Linked DNA regions of Nothobranchius furzeri. The protein of the gene in region 1 purifies or fractionates together with the protein of each later gene. This does not show direct contact. Links are inferred from orthologs where the notes say so. Each region holds a gene or a part of one and is shown in the gene's direction. Other genes may lie near its edges.

Region 1 (6,246 bases):
AACCCGCTTGCGGGCCGGATGTGGCCCGCGGGCCGCAAATTTGACACCCCTGCATTAGAAGCTACAGGAAGTGTAACATTTATGCATCTGTCTAATTTGGATGAAACAATTACACTTTCTGTAAAACCTATAACTTGGTTTAACTTCTCAGATATCACTGTGTGTGTCTCCTACAGGATATGTTTAACTGGCATTTTTTATCGTAACAACAAACGATTTCACACCCCACTAAGTTTATACATCATGATCAATTCAGGTACTTATATAAATAACGGTGCCAAACTTCTGAGCCCCCCTGTCTTTTCTGAGGTTCTGGATTCTTCTTTCTTCCACAGCATCTCTGGTCTGTCTGCCTCTACCTCCTCTTCCCAACCTACGACCTCCGACAGCTAAACCCCGACTTTGATCTGCATTTGGGCTTGCTCGTGCTCTCGGTCGACTCCTGGGCCCTCATTTAAATTTGAAAAGGTGTGGTGTGAGTTAAAGAGAGCTGGCCATGGTCAGAAGCCATCAAATCTGAATAAACTGGAGATCTTTTGTAAAGAACGGTCCATTCTGAGATCTTCACATCAGATTTTTGGTTCATTTTTTTGTATGTTTTTCTGATTTGATTTTTTCTTTTAATGTTTTTCAGTGCATCCTTCAAAATAAAAGGACCAGCCAGTTAAAGGGTTAGTCCGTGGTGAGATTAACCTTAATCCATTGCTCTTGTTAAATGTTCTTTATTATTAATAGTTCTTAAATGTTGCATAAAATCATCTAGTTTTTATTCTCGATGAAAGCCTTCCGATTGCAGTAACATACCGTGACCACATGATGTCGCTCTTTAGTCACAGCTTGAGAGGGCCAGAGGCGCTGCTCCTGTAGGTCAGAGTAAAACTCCATCAGCTGTTGTGTTAATCAACAGATTTGTCCTGTTCTCGTGAAAAGACGAGTTTACGCAGAAGGCTTTGTTTTAGCTCCTCTGAGGTGGAGAAAAGAATCGCAAAGGGCTTCTTATCTGAGGTTTCTGCTAACGCAGATGTAAATTTATCACTGAAACTCACGGAGGAAGTGCAGTTACAAAGTCAGAATTATTATCAGGAGAAATTGGTTTAACAACTTTACAGGACTTGAGAAAACACGCCATGCAAACTAGAACAAGGACGTAAAAGCTTGGGACTTTACATAAACTGGTGGAAGTAGACCTTAGAGGCAAAAAGGAAAACTAACTGGAGAAAAACAAACCAAACCTTAAAAGAAAAGATGAGCAATAAGCAACCACTCGATGTTTGAAGAAGGTTCAGGTTGCAGTACTGTGCTAAAGTTTTGATTCAGTTCCGATTTCTTTATATTTTGCACCCAGTGAAAAAAATCTAATTATTTAAAAGTCTCAGCTTCTTTTTCCAAATCTGATCTTCTGCCTTTGATTCGGCTCAGTCTTCTGCCTGAAGGAAGGGGGGCAGTCTGTGTTACATATAAACGCTTATATACACACCATCACGATGGTGGCCTCATTTAGCTTTCGCTTCCACCATCAGGACCTCCAGTGGGAGCCCACCATCACCTCCAGCACAAAAAGGCCCAGAGAAATTCAACCTATCAGCACAGTCGATGAGGCAGTTCTACACAGCAGTCATTGAGTCCACCCTCACCTCCTCAATCACAGTGTGGTATGCAGGAGCTACCACCAGGAACAAGGAGAAGCTGCAGCATGTTATGCTACGCTCTGCTGAGAAGGTAATTGGCTGCAAACTCCCCTCCATGCAGGACCTGTACACCTCCAGGACACTGAGGCGTGCAGGTTGCATCACAGCTGGCCCGTGTCACCCTGGACACAGTCTCTTTGACTCTCTCCCATCTGGCAGGAGACTCAGATGCATTCGGACCAGAACCTCTCGCCACAAGAACAGTTTCTTCCCCTCTTTTCACAGACTCATGAACAACAATCCTAGGACTGCCCACTCCAGCCGCTTGGTTCCAGTCACAATTGTGTTTGTACCTGAATTCTAGTACCTGCACTGTGTATAGTAGCCGCTTCTCTAATTATTGCCACATTATATTAAATATTTTATCATGAGTATATTAGTAATCTCTATATCTCTTAATTTTGTTCTTCTTTTGCGCCAAATCTAGCATTTATCGCAATAAAACCTTCTGATTCTGATAGTTGTTTTTGTTCATCATGACAGTCACCACTCCGCCGCTAGATGGCGACAAAACAGAATATTTCGGCCTGGTAAACCGATCCCGTAGGAACCTTTTTTCCAGCTGCGGGGAAGGGGAGCTGTAATTGTGACGGACCTACGTGGCATGTAAACATTTTGCTGAATTACTGAGAAAAGGCCGTTTGAGAACTGACATAATCCAGTTATTACAAACGTATTGCGTCTGTACGGTGACATTTCGCTTCGTGACTTGACGTTGGCATCAAAATAACCTGAAAAGGGACGGAACGTTAAGCTGAAGACGTCCAAAGCTACTGGATTCACGTTCGTGTCCAGATCAACACCTGTAGCCATGTGGGGTGAGATTGACCCCCCCGTTAGGCCGCAGCCGAGTCTGTTGTTGGAGAGTGAGAACCGGAGTGAAGCTTCAGAGGAACCCGCCGCGCCACCGTGGAGATACGAACAGAACCGGGCCCCTTGCACGGACCCCCAGGAAGCTCCACGGGAAGAGTCGGCGGTGGGAACACACCCATAAACTCTGGGAAGGTGTTGTGCTTTATTCTGCTGCTCTGACGTTTGTGTTTGGGTTTGAAGGCGGAGTCCAGCTGTGTGGCCGCGATGATAGAGGCGGTAGCGATGAGCGGCAGCCCGGTGAAGAGCCAGCAGGTCGGTGAGGCGGAGCTGACGGTCGGGGAGAGAAAGCAGGAGCTGCGGGAGCAGTACCGGAGCAGACCGCTGGTGTTCCTGGAGCGGTACCATGTGAGTGACACACGCACGCACACACACATTTTATCTTCTTCCTCCGTGTCATCCTCATCAAAATATTTATCCTCAGCAACTCTATTAACTAAATCCAGGTTGTCATAGTTGGGGTTATTGTCCACTTCACTGTAACACACACACACACACACACACACACCTGTATAACTGGTTTATTGCTCTTTTGTATTTATGGAGAACCAGGTAGATCAAGTGGCTCTGCTGATCTCAAACACACAGGAAGAAAGCATTTCCCTTTTAAAAACAACCTCACTGTGATAATGCATCCTGACTCGCTTGTTTTCTCCTGTCCTCCCTTTCAGACCCATTTGCAGCCCGAGCACCTTCCTGCATTTGTCCATGTCTGCGCTGACCCGAGAGCTCAGCACTACAGCGGTGTGGTCCAGTCGCGAGCGTCCGGCTGCATCAACAGAACCAGAGTCAGAAACCAGCGTTATGCTGCTCTCAGGGCTCTACAGAAAGGTAGACTCCACTGTAGGGCTGCTCGATTATGGCAAAAACAATGATCACGATTTTTGTGACTGAAATTGAGATCTCGATTATTTAGGACGATTTTTCAATTTATGTTGATTTTATTTGTTTTTATTCAGTCATAAAATTGCTCAGGGCACAATCAGGACAAAAATAAATAAGACACAAGATGATCACTAAAATAACTCCTGATTCCCAGTATAAAAAGACTAATATACTTATAGCTCATAGTTTATGACCCAAGGGCTGTAGACCTTGGTTTAACTCATTTAAGTCTAACCAGTACAGACCCAAATACTAACATCTTGCAAATACTGACAGCAAGAATTATACAGTGGCATTTATAACAAATAAATGCAAATAAATTGATGTTCACAAAATGTTGCATAGCATTTATTTAGTCATGTCAAGGTGCTGTAGGAGAGTGCACTAGCACCGTGTCCTCAGAGAGATTAGTTATTATTTATCAGCGTGAGGAACTTATTTCTACCTTATTTATAAACTATTTATTTACAAGTCCATCAGTTAATGTAATAATTGTCCCAACCACAGCTGCACCCCCCACCCCCCAACCCGGTCTCACAGCAATCGGGGCAAGCTGCACGTGTGTTTAGTACGCCGCACGTGCACATTACGCCGTTTTTAGTGGCTCAGGAGTCCGCAGGTGCGGTGTGTGTGTCACTCACTCTGGTTAATCCAACAGGGAGCCGGCTCCGAGAGCCGTTTCTGTAGCGACTGACACATCACTACATCATTCCCTTTCCTAATGTTGTGAAGAACGGTCCGGAGCGCAGGCGGAGTGTTTAGCTAACCTGCAGGAAATATCAACAACAGTTATCCAGAAAGTAGCTAAGGGTTACCGGAGATGTTTCTGAGGTGTTCGCTAGGTACTTTTAAGATTTAAAAAGTCAAGAAGTGGGTCTGAAAAGCTGCTGGAAATAGCGTCAAAGTCGCCAAGCTGGCAACACTGTGGGAGGAGCGCTTCATTTGCAACTCAGGGCAGCGCAAGTGGGAGGAGCAAATAATCGGCCTGTTTTGTTTTCATAATCATTCTAAACTCAGATCGTAATTGTGATTAAAATTTGATTAATTGAGCAGCCCTACTCCACTGTTTCAGCTGTAGAAGAGGCACATGCATGTGGGTCTAAGCATGATGTCGTTTTACTGCCAAATACGTTTAGGCAACACAGAACACGCAAATGCAAAAATCTTATATTTTCTTTGATTTTTATGTTATTATTGATGGTAAGAATGGGAACTATTTGATGTTTTATCTCATCAGGGCTTATTTTTACTTTACCATTCATACAGGACATCTCAAAGTACTTTACAGCATATTAATAAACGACACCAAATAAATAGAATAAAACAATGAAATGATTTTACTTCATGTGATGATTCAGAAATGTAGAACTGTGAGTCAGCACGAGAAGATAAGAGATGTTTTAATACTTTAATCTGAGCTAAAGGGAGCATGTGGATAATGGCCCGAGAACTGAGCCCTGAGGAACCCCACGTGTGACATTTGTTTGCTCTGATTTATATTTTCCAAACTGATAATGTAATAAGCAGCAGCACTAAGAACCAATTAAACCAAGGCAGATGTTTTTGATGGGTCATTTTTGAGAACCAAGTTCACTGAGAAACCATTTTTATTTGTGATTTGTGCGATACAATCAGTCAGTCTGAGTTTCTCATGCAGGCTAAACGTGAAAAAAGTCTACTAACCCTATCTTCTGCATTAGCTGCTGATAGATGATAGATGAGGGAACACTCACGGAGAAGTGACCCAGATCTACATCACATTATAAATTAGCATTCATGGACTCACCCATCTTGGTTCACGCCTGCAGACGATTGTTGGTTTAGCGTCCAGGAGAGAGTAGAGCACATCTCCGATAGTAGAAGCTGATCGTTAGCGTTAGCAACTCCACAGCACAGCAGCACTCCTCCTTCAGACTTGTGTTATTTGTGGAAATAAAACATTAGCATTGCAAAGAAGACAGAGGCAGTGGAAGAGTCGTGTTGCTGTTAGCCAATCAGAGGTGAGAAGTCATCATAGCATGAATATTAATGAGTAAAACTCCTAATCCTGCTGTTTTCTGCTTCCATCTCCTCCGACTTACTTCTACTTCCTGAAACAGGAGCGCCAGAGCTTTTTTTTCCACAGATTTTGACTCACAAGGCATTTATTCTTACCAGACCTCTGCAGATGTGTTAAAAAAAACTGGTGAACTTGGTCTTTAAGCTAGACCTAATTTAAAATGTTTACGAGTGCAGTCTCTTTTCTGCGCTGTGATGGAAACCCTGATTGGACGGTATTAAAGAAAGTGTTTTATATCAACTAACACATTTTTTCTAAACCAGTTTCACAGAGCTAGGTGTAGGCTAGAGTTTGGACCTGTAGGAACATCCAGGTCAGACTTGTTTAAAAGCTTCATTTCAAGTGCAACACAAAAAAAGCTGTTATGAACTCATGCGTTCACCACGTCAGGAATGCATGTCATTAATGCCCCTTTATTTAACAGCATCCGTTAATTACTGCAGCTACAGATGAGCAGCTGCTGTCTGTGAGATCAGAGACCACCAGAGGGCGCTCCAGACTCCAAACTGTTTAATCTTCTGGATTAAAAAATTAGAGTTCTCAAAAAACCTTTTATTTCTTTTCCATCTTTAATTTTTCTTCTAGAGGGTCGGTACTTCAGTGAGGAGCAGATGCGAATGAGAGAGCCTCTGCTGTATGAGCAGTACATCGGCCAGTACCTCACTGATGAAGAGGTGAGTTTTACTTTTTAATAAACAAATAATCTTCCTAATATTGTTTGTTTGTTTATTTATTTATTTGATT
Region 2 (6,148 bases), on another chromosome or scaffold:
CCGCCCCCCAAAAACTTGCATCCACACCACCTCGTTTAAAAAAAAACTGTCCACACGTACCCGGATAAATACGTTGTTAAGGACATGCCAGACCTGTAGGCGGCAGTACTTCCCCCGTTCTTAACCTCGTCCTTCGTCTGTGGTCTTCCGCAAGGAGCAGTAATTCCGCTTGCAAAAACAAACAAGCAAAAAGCGCTTGGACAATTGATGAAGCGAGCGCAGCTCTGAGGGCATCCATGCTGTCGGCTAGTGTAAACACAGGTCGCACACGTGATGTCAGCATTTTTTGTCGCGGAAAGTGACGTTGCGGACCTTAAAACTCCGGTTTTGTCCGTCCACACGCAGACACCCAAAACGGAGAAAACGCAGATCTTCACTTTGGCCGGAGTTTTTAAAAAGATCCGTTTTCGTGTGGATGACAGGCCAAAACGTAGAAAAATATCTACGTTTTGGCAGATCCCCGGCTACGTGTGGACAGGGCCTCAGTATTTAGTGTGTTTTTCCCACCAGTGTTTTCTTCCTCCTCCCTGATTTAGTAATTGTGTTCACCTGGTCCCTCTCCCCACACACCTGCAATTCATCTCCCTCTCATCTTCCCAGTCTATATAAGCCCTGTCTTGTCCCTGTGTTGTTGTCGGTCCATTGTATGTTTGTCAGCGTTGTTTTATGCTCTAGTTGAGCTTATGTCTCCAGGTTTTGGTGCTCTCAGTGAGCTTTTGTTTTTGTTACCAGGGTTTTTGGATTTTTGGACTTTTGGCTCACTGCCTTTGGATTTATTTTTGTTCGTTCTACAAAATAAAGCATATTTACTTTACATCATCTCCAGCCTCGTGTCATCCTGGGTTTCTGCATATTTGTGTCCTAAACATCCTCAAAACGTGACATTAGAAAGGACTTGGTCCTGATGTTGCTGCTATGCAGGCGGTTTCTGATGGTAGAAAGGACTGTTTTCCTACTGAATGTAGTGTGCACATTTACCAAGGTGTCCTTTTTTAGGTGTTTCACGTGGTCTTGCTGGGGGGGTTAGAGTCTTTAGGGGACAGAGTTGAGTCAGAGCAGTGTTAAAGATGCATTGTTCATGTGATTTACACCTGGTCACGGCCTCGGTGAAGACCAGATGTGATGTTCATCTCCCAAGCTTCACCTTAGTGCCTGTTTGAGTGAAGCCCAGCATAAGCCAGTGCTGCAACATCCGTTACCATGGCAATAACCTTTTTCTTTTCCCTTTTTCTAATTCAGTTGTTTCGTTTGTGCATAAAAAAGGCTTTTAAAAAGTCTGCTGAGGTTTCAGAGGAAAATTAGTTGCAGTATCAGTGTTTTGTTTTTTATAAATATTAAAATTAAAGGTGCTGAAAAAACCTGATTGATGCTCAAATTACTCGAATAGGGAATAGTCTCCAGGTGTGCTACCGCATCCAATTTAAATTTTTACTTCTTGTTTTTAAGTAACTCTATCTTTATGCTCCTCTCTACTTGACTCAGCTGGTTCAGCCCTACGTACCTGGTCGAATTCTTTGGTCAGCAGACCTGTTACAGGTCCCAAGAGTTCGGGTGAGGACGCAAGGAGAACGAGCCTTCTCAGTCTGTGCGCCTCGTCTCTAGCAGTGACGGCTCATTTTTATTCCTTAGCTTTTACTTCAGCCTAGCTAGCATTTTACGATGTTTTTGTTTTGTCTTTATTGATTTTATAGTAGTTACTGTACTACTTTTATTACTTCTTCCAGTGTGTTGATTTTTATGCTCATTTACTGTGCAGCACTTTGGTTGGCCTCGGCCCTGTAAAAATGTGCTTTAAAAATAAAATGGAATGGAAATAGTGCTCCCTTCAATTCTGGAACCAACTGGTATGAAGAGCGAGAAGAACATTTTAGCCTAAATATTTTTTCATGTTTTAAAAAAAGTGCACTAACACTTGTTTGCTATACAGTTTTAAATGTTATTTTATTCGTATTCATTATATTGAAAGAAACTCTGGGATTTTTTTACTGAGTTGAGCTTAAGTATAGGTTCTGTTCAGTTCTTATGCATCTTCAGTTATCAGCCTCAGCAGCCAGTATTCAAATAGCATTTCTGTAAGAATGTCATTTTTCTATAGTTAGGATAATTGTTCCAGGCTGGTTGAGGTTCTTGTCCGCCGCTAGAGGGCAGCACCGTTATAAGGATGTATCTGTAGCCTAATTCCAAACCGGAAGTTCGATATATTTTTACCGTAGCCTCCATTTTGAAGTGAAAACAGCGTGTTTGTTGTTTATCTGCGTTATTTACACGAATTAAATCGTTACGATGGCTATGCAAGCAGCAAAACGTGCTAATGTAAGTGTAATGGAGCATATAAGGGGACAAAGGAAAGGCTAATGTGAAATGTAAGCTAGGTTTAGCTCTGAGGAAGCGTCTCAAAGAATTAGCGCACTACTAGCAGGTTAGCAAATTGAAAACAGTCCTCAAAACCTGAAATCTTCAAGCTTTATATTCACTTTAGTTATACTTACCATTTGAGGTCATGTGTTTTTTCATCTTTTGTTTTGTGAAGACATAATCCTCGTTGGGATATCGTCAGGCTAAGAATATTTGTTCCTTCCGGTACGGAAACAAGGATAAGCTAATGCATGTAATGATTAAAAGTAGCCATGTCTATTGTTAAGTGACTTACGTAGTCTTAAAAGGCCTCAGCTAGTAATCGTGTGTACTTATGTATCAGGTATTTGAGTTTTTACCCAGGTTAGTTTTGTTCCCTCTGAATAGTTTAATGATGTGTTTTAATGGTGTTGTAGATCCGATTACCTCCTGAGGTGAACAGAATCCTGTATATAAGGAATCTCCCCTATAAGATCACAGCTGAGGAGATGTACGATATCTTTGGAAAATACGGACCAATACGACAGATCCGAACGTAAGTTTTCAAAAAGTGTGTGTGTGTGTGTGTGTGTGTGTGTGTGTGTGTGTGTGTGTGTGTGTGTTATTATGAAGTCATTTTCAGAGTAAAAGAAAATTTTATGTAACAAAGCCAACTCTGCATTTAAAGCAGCCTTCACAGGATAAAAGCCACACATCGCTTCACGGTAAACATAAATAAAACAAATGTAAGTAAAACAGGTTTAAGTGTATTTAGAGAGCTCACGTTGAAGTAACAGTTAAGAGTCGTAGAGAAAGCAGCAAAGACAGAAAGAAAACGATCTTTTACGTAGCGCCTCTCAAAATAAAAATCACAAGGCGCTTCACAAACAAAACAACTAGAAAGATGTCAAAAAACGATTAAAAATATGTTTAAAATGAAGATAAGTAAATTGTGATTAAAAATAATAATGTAAGGAATGGGAGAGAGAAAATGAATAGGAAAGAGGGAAATGAGTGGATTGCTGGGAAAGGCGGAATACGTAGAAAGAGCCGAATAGGGAGAGGGTGGTGACGAAGGTCACACCAAAGCCAGCTTGAACTGGTGAGTTTTTAGCTGCTTTTCATAGGAGACCACCGAGTCCACTGATCTCAGGCTCAGAGGGAGAGAGCTCCAGAGTCTAGGGGCCACAGCAGCAGATGATCTGTCACCTTTGGTCTTTAGCCTGAAAAGAGATGAACACAGAAAAGGAGCCACCTTCATGGACGTTGTTTCTGCCTGGAGTTGATTGGTTTGTTGACACAAATTACATGACAAATCCCTTAAAGAGCAAATTGCAGGTTAGAGACTCCCATGAACCAATGTTTAGAGAAGCATAACAGAAACTCGGTTTAGAAGTTTTTTACACAGTAGAGACGGAGCTGCGCATCTGACCCCGGAAGTTGTTGCCCGTTGCCAGGAGACGAAGGCGGGCAAAACAGGAAAGGAATCTAGTAGCGGACGGACATTGTTCTGGGTCTTCGGTATTTGGTGGAGATGTTAGTGAAGGCGGAGAAGAGGGTGGACTAGAGGAAAAACAGGCAGGTTCCACCTCTATTTACAAACTCCTGGGGATGCAACAAGTGGGCGTGGTGCGTCGACCACCGGATCTGACGTCGACGAATTTTTAGAATCGAGCCGTCGACGTCATCGATGCATCGCTACAGCTCTACTGCGCATACCTGTAGTTATCGTCCATTTATCGTTATCGAGGTGAAATCCTCAATATATCGTGATATTGATTTTGAGCCATATCGCCCATCTCTAACCTAAAGGAAGACCCAGGATGCGCTGGAGGGACTACGTCTCTCAGCTGACCAGGGAACACCTTGGGATTCCCCTGCAGGAGCTGTGGAGGGAAGTCTGTGCCTCCCTGCTTAGGCTGCTGCCCCGTGACCCGACCCTGGATAAGCGGCCAGAAATGGATGGATGGATCAGCTAAGATAGTTTGATGGAAAAACAAAATTTGTTATTTTTGTTAACAACAAAAACTAGAGAGCGATCAGTTCACCTTTAATAAACATGGCTGCTGCTGCTTCAAGAGGGTCGGCTCCTTTCTGTAACACCGGTGTGTGAGCAGCAGACTCCTCCTAATATCCAGGCGGTGTCCTCTGGCTTCGGTGTGGAGTAGACCTACTTTAACTTTGAAACTTTTATGCTAGTCGCGTGTGTGAGAGCCCTGCTTTGGGTCTGGGACCCAGCACGTCCTTCTGTTATTCTGTGAGGTGGTACCAAAAAAAAAAAAAAGTCAAAAATGATCTTTTTCCCTCAATCCGTGTCATGTGATTTAGATACAGAGTCCCAATCCAATATTTCAGCAATCCATTAAATTAAGGAAAAAGTAGAAAACATCCAAGTTTTCCATTTTAGGTATTTTTATTATTTATTTGTAAGTTGGAACGGAATAGAAACGTTATCTGTCTAAACGGCTAGAGAAACTCGTCTTTTAAAAAGACACAACTTCCTGTTTCCATGTCATTTCCTCAGTTGAGCTGCTGAAACCATTCAGGAAGAATATTGATCAGAAACATGTTATTACTACAAATATGTTTAGTAATAGTCTCATTCCTTATTATTCAAATAGTTTAGAAAGTGTGTGGCTGCGATGAGCATTACCAAGACTGCACCCACGTTGCAGCTGCCAGGCTCACTCTTACCTGCACACCTGTGGTGCTGGGTGTGTAAAATGGTGATAAGAAAGCAAAAACCGGCGTTTGCAGCCACAGAGTCATCCTGGTTAATATTCTGCTATCTCTGCTCTATTTCTGCCTCAGAGGGAACACGCCTGAAACAAGAGGAACAGCTTATGTTGTGTACGAAGACATCTTCGATGCCAAGAACGCCTGCGACCACCTTTCAGGCTTCAACGTCTGCAACCGTTACCTGGTGGTTCTTTACTACAACGCAAACCGAGTACGTACGAGTTATGGAGCACACACGGGCTGTCAGGGTTGCACCAAAAGAAGACTCAGCAGTTTGAAGTTAAGAGGTTAAAACTAAGTTTTCTGTTTTTGGTGCACAGGCTTTCCAGAAGATGGACACCAAGAAGAAAGAAGAGCAGCTGAAGCTTCTGAAAGAGAAATATGGAATCAACACAGACCCTCCAAAGTAGAGTCACCTAATCCGCCTTCGTTCACCTTCAGAGACGTTCTTTATTAACTTTTCTGTCAATTATTGGCTTATTAAGATGACTCATTTCCCCCTTTAATCATCTGGCCCAACATGCAGGACTGTGGTGTTAGTCCAGTCCAGAACAGCAGCTTCGGGCTTTTATTGTGACTTTGTCCTACCGACCCATCATTTAGACAAACTTTTTATTTAAACATACTGCTGTGTAAAGTTTATCATTCCTGTAAAATAAATGCTCCTTTTTCTAAAGCTCCCCAGCGTTTTCCAAACCTCACATCTGAATCATCCAGCAGGTTTTTATTTCCTAGAGAAAGTCTGACATGCACCGTGTCACAACGCTCGAGTCATCTCGAACTGGTTTCTAGAACTTGACCATGAGGTCACTGGACTCCAGCAGTCGCCACAGTCTCCAGATCTCAGTCCGGTCCAGAACCTTTGTGGAGGTTCTTATGGTTGGAGCCGATGCTGTAATGTTGGGATGGACCGGAACCTCAGAAATGCTGAAGGCTAAAGTGGGTCCAACCCAGTCCTAGTAAGGTGTACGTTTTAAAATGATATCAGACTTTTTTTTAGTTTTCCGTTCAGCGAGTCTAAAGTGAAACGTCAGCATCAAAGGGATCGTGAGTATTTGAAATGTTCTCTGGGCCC
Region 3 (5,926 bases), about 40 Mb from region 1:
ATCATAACGCCGTTTCCGTTACTGATAAGAAAATGCGTGTGTTACTAATTCAGCAGCGTGGTGTGTTGAAGCTGCCATCAGCTGATTGGGAGCTAAAGAGGCGCATGTTTTCATCCAAGTGCATCACGGCCCATGAAGAACAAGGAAGACGTGATGAATAGTCTACGGCTGCAGACCCGCAGATTCGCTGCTGCAGCCGTGCCCTTCTTGGCGTGACAGCGGAACGTCCCGAAGGTCCACTCATCTGTTCACCACTCAGACATCACGATCTTCTACCTTCCTAGATCATCCAACTGTAACCTGTTTCTGATCATGTCTTTAGTCCTGCTGTAACACTGATGCATCAGTCTCAGACATCATGGAGCTCAGGTGTTATTAGAACTTCCTGTGCGTCTTTACCACCCACCTTCAGCTCTTCTGTGTTTGGGTCTTACCCATGTTAGTACATTTAAGTCCTCCATCAGATTTGTGCCTCTTCTAGTGTCATTTTAAAGGATATTTGTTTGTTTATTTATTTCACCATTACTAGATTACCAGCAACAGAAATGCTACTAATAACACACAATTATGTGAAGCAGGAAAAATTAGAATGCTGTGCAAAATTACTTTTATTTCAGGAATTTCACTATACTGAGAGACCATTTAAAGGCTCAGGAACCTTTACAGTTGTTTATATTTGCAATTATAATTTTGAGCTGATTGGGGTCTTGTTAAATATCACACAGTGACATTTTAATAGTCTTGATTAATGTAATGTTCCTGTTTGTAGTTCCTCCTGTTAAGTGCCCATCTGTTTCAATTATTCAGTTTGATAAAAAAAAAACATTTTGACATACATTTTATTATGTTCCAGTCATTAGTCATTTATATTTCAGTATTGTAGTAATTTATAGTAAATTAAGTAAGTTTAATCAAGAGGGGAACCCATTTTTCTTGCATTCTTTAGTGAAAAAAAAGGTAACAAAATGTTTATTTTTCTTGGTGATTAGTTACTTTTAGTTACTTTTTGGACAACGACGTGATCAGTAACTATACCTAATTACTTTTTAAAAGTAACTTTCCCAACACTGACCATTAGCATTAGCAACCCCACCACACAGCAGAAGCTCCTCCAGGCTTGTGCTATCTGTAGAGACAAAACATCCACGTTGGATAACAACAACGCGACTCTACCATAACGTGGTAGTTTGTTTGTCCCAGTGTCCCTGTGATATCTTGTGGCCTGTCCAGGGTGTACTTTGCTAATGACTGCTGGGGAAAGACTGCTCCCTTTGACCCTAGTGAGGAAAAGCAGTCAAGATCATAGGTGAGTAATTTTTAACAAATATTTCAAAACATTTCTGAACCCAAATCTAACCATATTTTCATATTTTTCTGTCCCAATCATGGTTGCCATTAGCAACAGCTGGTAGATGGAAAATTAGGGTCATAACTCTACAGGCAGCAAACATGCTCAATGCAGAACATCATCAAACACATTATCCACAGAAAAAATTTCATTATACCAGCCACAGGAGAGCCCAGTGCTAAGCAATTCTGAGCAATTTAGTCTCGATGTGGCAATTTGAAAAATTGTACTGTGATTATTTGTTTTAAGATAAATGTTTTAAAACAACATGAATACATCAGTTTTGATGAAAAGTTTATCTCACTGCACAGGTACTCTAATGATTGCTGCAGACACTTGCATATTTATATCCTTAGAAAAAGCCAATAAATACTGCAGTCTATTTATTTGGAAGAAGACCAAGTAGTACTATTTGTTTTTAGAAGCATAAGAAAAACAATGGACGTATTCCCTTGAATGGTGTGGAATGATGATAGAGGCTACACACGAATTTAAAACATAAAAAAGAAAAGATTGCAACATAGACACAACCTATTTTCAATTAACCTACAAATAAACCAAAGAAAATAATAACTGTATTTAATGTACCCAGATTTTCTAAAAAAAAAAAAAAAAAAAAACTTTCTTTGAGTGAGTAAGAAGTACACTTTGACCAATGGAGCGGAATCAGAACAGTACGACATTTGTTCCTACCCGGATCATTTCATAGGGTAACGCGCCGGCAGTGGTCGTTTGTCAGTGCCTGAACGACTCAGAATTAATTTACCTGTTTTGTTTTAGTTCTTGATCTCTGTACACATTACGTAAGTGTTTTGTTCTTTTAAAACCAATTGATGTGAAGCTGAAGCTATTATTTGCCCTCCAGGGGAGCCTAAATTTAGACTTTTATTACACGAAGACCGACTAGCTAAGCTAAGCTACTGTTAGCATAAAGAGTGGAAGATCAAACGTTGTCCAACAAAGAAAATGTGTAAATAAAGGGCAACGACCGAATATTTGGAATTGTATTTTGTTTGTTAATATGTCAATGTTGATCATTTGGATAAAACTCACATAAATAACGGCGATTAAGGATTCGAATGCAGTGGAAAAATACACTGCATGAACGAATTAGATAACTTTGCTAACATCGTTAGCCTTTCCAATATATTTGAAATGTTCGTTTGTATTTTGCTTTAAATAATAGTCTTTTTGGGATGTTTAATGTTGGAGTGGTAGTTTTTAAGCTTTAATTCTGTCTTTTTCCCTAGTTGTCACCATACATCCAGATTAAAGTAGTCACCCACACGTTGCGTTATCAGTACTTAGTCCTGGGACCTTCTAAGGTTTTGTTGTTGCGTTTGTGTTGTCTTTTCTTTTGCTAAATCAAAAGCGCATGCGATCTGCTGATTGTGTCAATAAATAGTATCAATACTGTTAAGAAGTAGCTTTTGCTGCTACGATTAGCTGCAAATACTCGTTTATTTTGTTTGTCTGACCCAAATTAAAAAGAGACTGAGCTGGAGGTTTTTTTTCTTCTTTCCACCATTGTTGGAAATCAATGTTAAAAAGTCTGAAACTTTTTAGCTGTTCTAAAAGTTAAAACATGTAGAAAAGCAGTAGTGATGCACCGATATGACATTTTTGGGCTGATACCGATATCTGATATTGAGCTCACTGTTATGGCTGATAACTGATATTTGCCGGTACAGATATGCTGACATTAAAGCTGAATTTACATTATGTACACGCAACACACACATTTATGGGTCTGAGATTATTTCATTCACTGTTCACATGACTAAACAATTACACATCACCCCCCTCACCCTCTGAAACAGGCGAACAAATGGAGACGAGATGGAAAAAATATCGGCCTGGTTTTATTTATCGAGCCGATATGTTAAAAATTGACCAACATCGGCCGATACAGATATTGATGCTGATATATTGTTCATCCCTAGAAAGCAGCATTTTAAAAAGCTTTACCTGCTCAGTATGTGCCTTATACAACATCATACAGGCTAATGTGTGTATGGAGTTCTGACACAATGTAGTAAAAACAAGTGATGCTTTTTGCATCCCAGCATGAATTACGTACAGCATGCACACATTATCTTTTTAAGAATAACAGTACATCTTCATCTGGACACTGATGAAACCCCAAGTTTATTTTAAAACTTAAAGGACTTCTTTCCCTGGTGAATCAAACAAGATTGACCTTTACAAACAACATTGTACAAGAACAACGTCTAATGAATCAGCCTAATATTCTAGAAAATGTAGAATTTTTTTATATAAATGATTTTAAAGAACATCACGGGTGATGTTTTTCTATCCTTTCCCCATCCAGAGTCTTTGAGTGAAAATGACGGACCGATACAACATCCACAGTCAGCTGGAACATCTTCAATCAAAGTACATCGGCACAGGACATGCTGATACCAGCAAGTGGGAATGGCTGGTCAACCAACATCGTGACTCATATTGCTCCTACATGGGACACTTTGACCTGCTAAACTACTTCTCCGTGGCTGAGAATGAGAGCAAGGCCCGCGTTCGCTTCAATTTGATGGAGAAGATGCTTCAGCCATGTGGGCCCCCAGCAGACAAGCCCGATGATGCTTAAATAACTCCAGAGTGAGCTTTTGTCCCTGGAAATTCTTTTTTCTACCATTAAATCCTGTTTGACCCTATCAAAAATAATTGGATCATCCATTTATAGTAGTTTTGTTTGCATATGGACAGCACTGAGGCAAAACAAATTATTTCAAGATCTCAATGTTTACAAGAACGGTAAATGTGTCTAAGTGATGCACAATTATCTGTGAAGAGATTGAAGAGATTGATGATTACAATGTGCCCATGATAAGTTTTGCTTATTCATTAAAATTTGACCTTTTTCTACAATCTTATTTATTTTACAGCCAGCTATTCATCTATTCTTTCACAACACTTTTATTTGTCATCATTTGGATTGAATGTGATTTGGGTTTATTTGAATAAACATTCATAGGTGGCAGGTAGCCTTTTGAAGCCTTTTACTCTGAAATGCTGGTGTTTTTCAGCTACACCCAATACTTTTCTGCAATATTAAGAAAAAAAAGAGAATTTAATGCAGATAATCTTTATTTTATTATAGTTGTAGCAAAATGCTTTTACTCAACTACAACAATAACTGATGCACTGTGGTTCAAATGCTGAAACTGCTTATTTGCAGTAGGAAATTTCACGGAAGAAAATTATCTGAAAAATCAGTGGGTGAAATTTAGAAAAGTCCACCAAAAGGTGGTTGAAGAAAAAAAATAACGGTGTTAAAAACAACAGAACACAGGTTTATGATGTTATTAAAAATTGCCAAAAGACTGCTTTCAAAACCAGCCGACCTGCTTTTTCAAGACAAAACTGGGAACTGCTGACACACAAAAAGCTAGAATTTTTAAATTAAATTGCCTCAGAAACACAAATGTGACAGCTGTGTGCATGAAAAACCGCTAAATCCTGCTTTAAACAATTCACCTTCTTTGGTAACTTAAACTCCCTCTTATTAAACACAACTTTAATCAATAGTTTATGAAATCCATTGATAAGAAAATCAATTTACAAGCACAACGTATGGAGGTCTGTTACTGCCATTGAGAAAAAAGTTCAGAAATTAAGTCATAAGTATGTTTTTATTACCAAAAATATGAATCAGGATAAAGAAAAGAAAAGCAGTATAAATTCCTTAAATAAGATCAAAGTCACAGGTTTGTGATTCTACATAATAGTATGTAAAGACAATTACAACATATTGTGATGTCATAGTTGACTTTAAAATTTACATCGAGTGAGTCATGAAATCATAAATTAGACTTGAAAAGTAAAATGGAAGCAAACTAATTATTATGAAAAGCAAACTCATGAAATTAAAAGTCCTGACTTGAAAAAAGTGAAATATGACTTTGTAAATATACAACTCACTTTAAATTCATAATAATGAGTTAGAAAGTCACAATCTTGATGCTATCAGAGTACTTTTCCAGTGGCTGAACTGGGCTCCAATGTCAAAGATTGATGTAATCATAAAAATCCAGGAATACGACTGACATTCAGGCGCTTAATAACGAGCTGTCAGCACCGTTACAAACTGAGCTGCATCAGGAAATGCTGAGATTTTGTGAAATGTGCACAAATATTATTCTGCATTTAAGGCTCAAAAAGTGCTAATAACCCCTTGTTTTAAGTTAAAGCTTAGTAAATGTTCACCAACAGTTCAACATTTGTTCAGCCAGTCAGATTCAAGAAAGTGCTGTCCACCTACACAACCTCTCACACACACACCGGTCGGCAGCTGCCCACCCACTGGGTTCACACAGATCAGTGTGCGTGACTTCACATCATCATTCTGGTTTTATTTAGCAGAGATGCCAGATTATTTCAGAGCTTGTTTTCCATTCGCAAATGTCAAAATGTTTTTTAGCAAACAGTTATGTCTGTAAGTGCAGATTACCACTTCAAGCGGTAATAAGACTTAGATAGCAGCTCAGAGGGACTTTGGTGTATTTCTAATCAGCAGCTTTGATCTGCAAGGCAGCTTAAATAAGCCGCAGCCTGTGA

The links.
Region 2: the proteins of ccdc97 (region 1) and sf3b6 purify together in Homo sapiens (affinity purification with mass spectrometry; 3 studies listed by BioGRID and IntAct, counting the BioPlex papers as one, with this or other methods). This does not show direct contact. The link is inferred for Nothobranchius furzeri from reciprocal best matches to the Homo sapiens genes CCDC97 and SF3B6.
Region 3: the proteins of ccdc97 (region 1) and sf3b5 purify together in Homo sapiens (affinity purification with mass spectrometry; 3 studies listed by BioGRID and IntAct, counting the BioPlex papers as one, with this or other methods). This does not show direct contact. The link is inferred for Nothobranchius furzeri from reciprocal best matches to the Homo sapiens genes CCDC97 and SF3B5.

What each region holds. Positions count from the first base shown.
Region 1 is NC_091752.1:64,456,349-64,462,594, forward strand, and holds the start of ccdc97 (coiled-coil domain-containing protein 97), read left to right. Parts: upstream 1-2,199; 5' UTR 2,200-2,499; coding exon 2,500-2,664; intron 2,665-2,741; coding exon 2,742-2,906; intron 2,907-3,229; coding exon 3,230-3,389; intron 3,390-6,087; coding exon 6,088-6,176; intron 6,177-6,246. UniProt on the Homo sapiens protein: May play a role pre-mRNA splicing through the association with the splicing factor SF3B complex which is involved in branch-site recognition.
Region 2 is NC_091742.1:17,813,697-17,819,844, reverse strand, and holds sf3b6 (splicing factor 3B subunit 6), read left to right. Parts: upstream 1-2,164; 5' UTR 2,165-2,283; coding exon 2,284-2,313; intron 2,314-2,771; coding exon 2,772-2,890; intron 2,891-5,145; coding exon 5,146-5,284; intron 5,285-5,393; coding exon 5,394-5,483; 3' UTR 5,484-5,749; downstream 5,750-6,148.
Region 3 is NC_091752.1:24,289,634-24,295,559, forward strand, and holds sf3b5 (splicing factor 3B subunit 5), read left to right. Parts: upstream 1-2,038; 5' UTR 2,039-2,151; intron 2,152-3,680; 5' UTR 3,681-3,695; coding exon 3,696-3,956; 3' UTR 3,957-4,242; downstream 4,243-5,926. UniProt on the Homo sapiens protein: Component of the 17S U2 SnRNP complex of the spliceosome, a large ribonucleoprotein complex that removes introns from transcribed pre-mRNAs.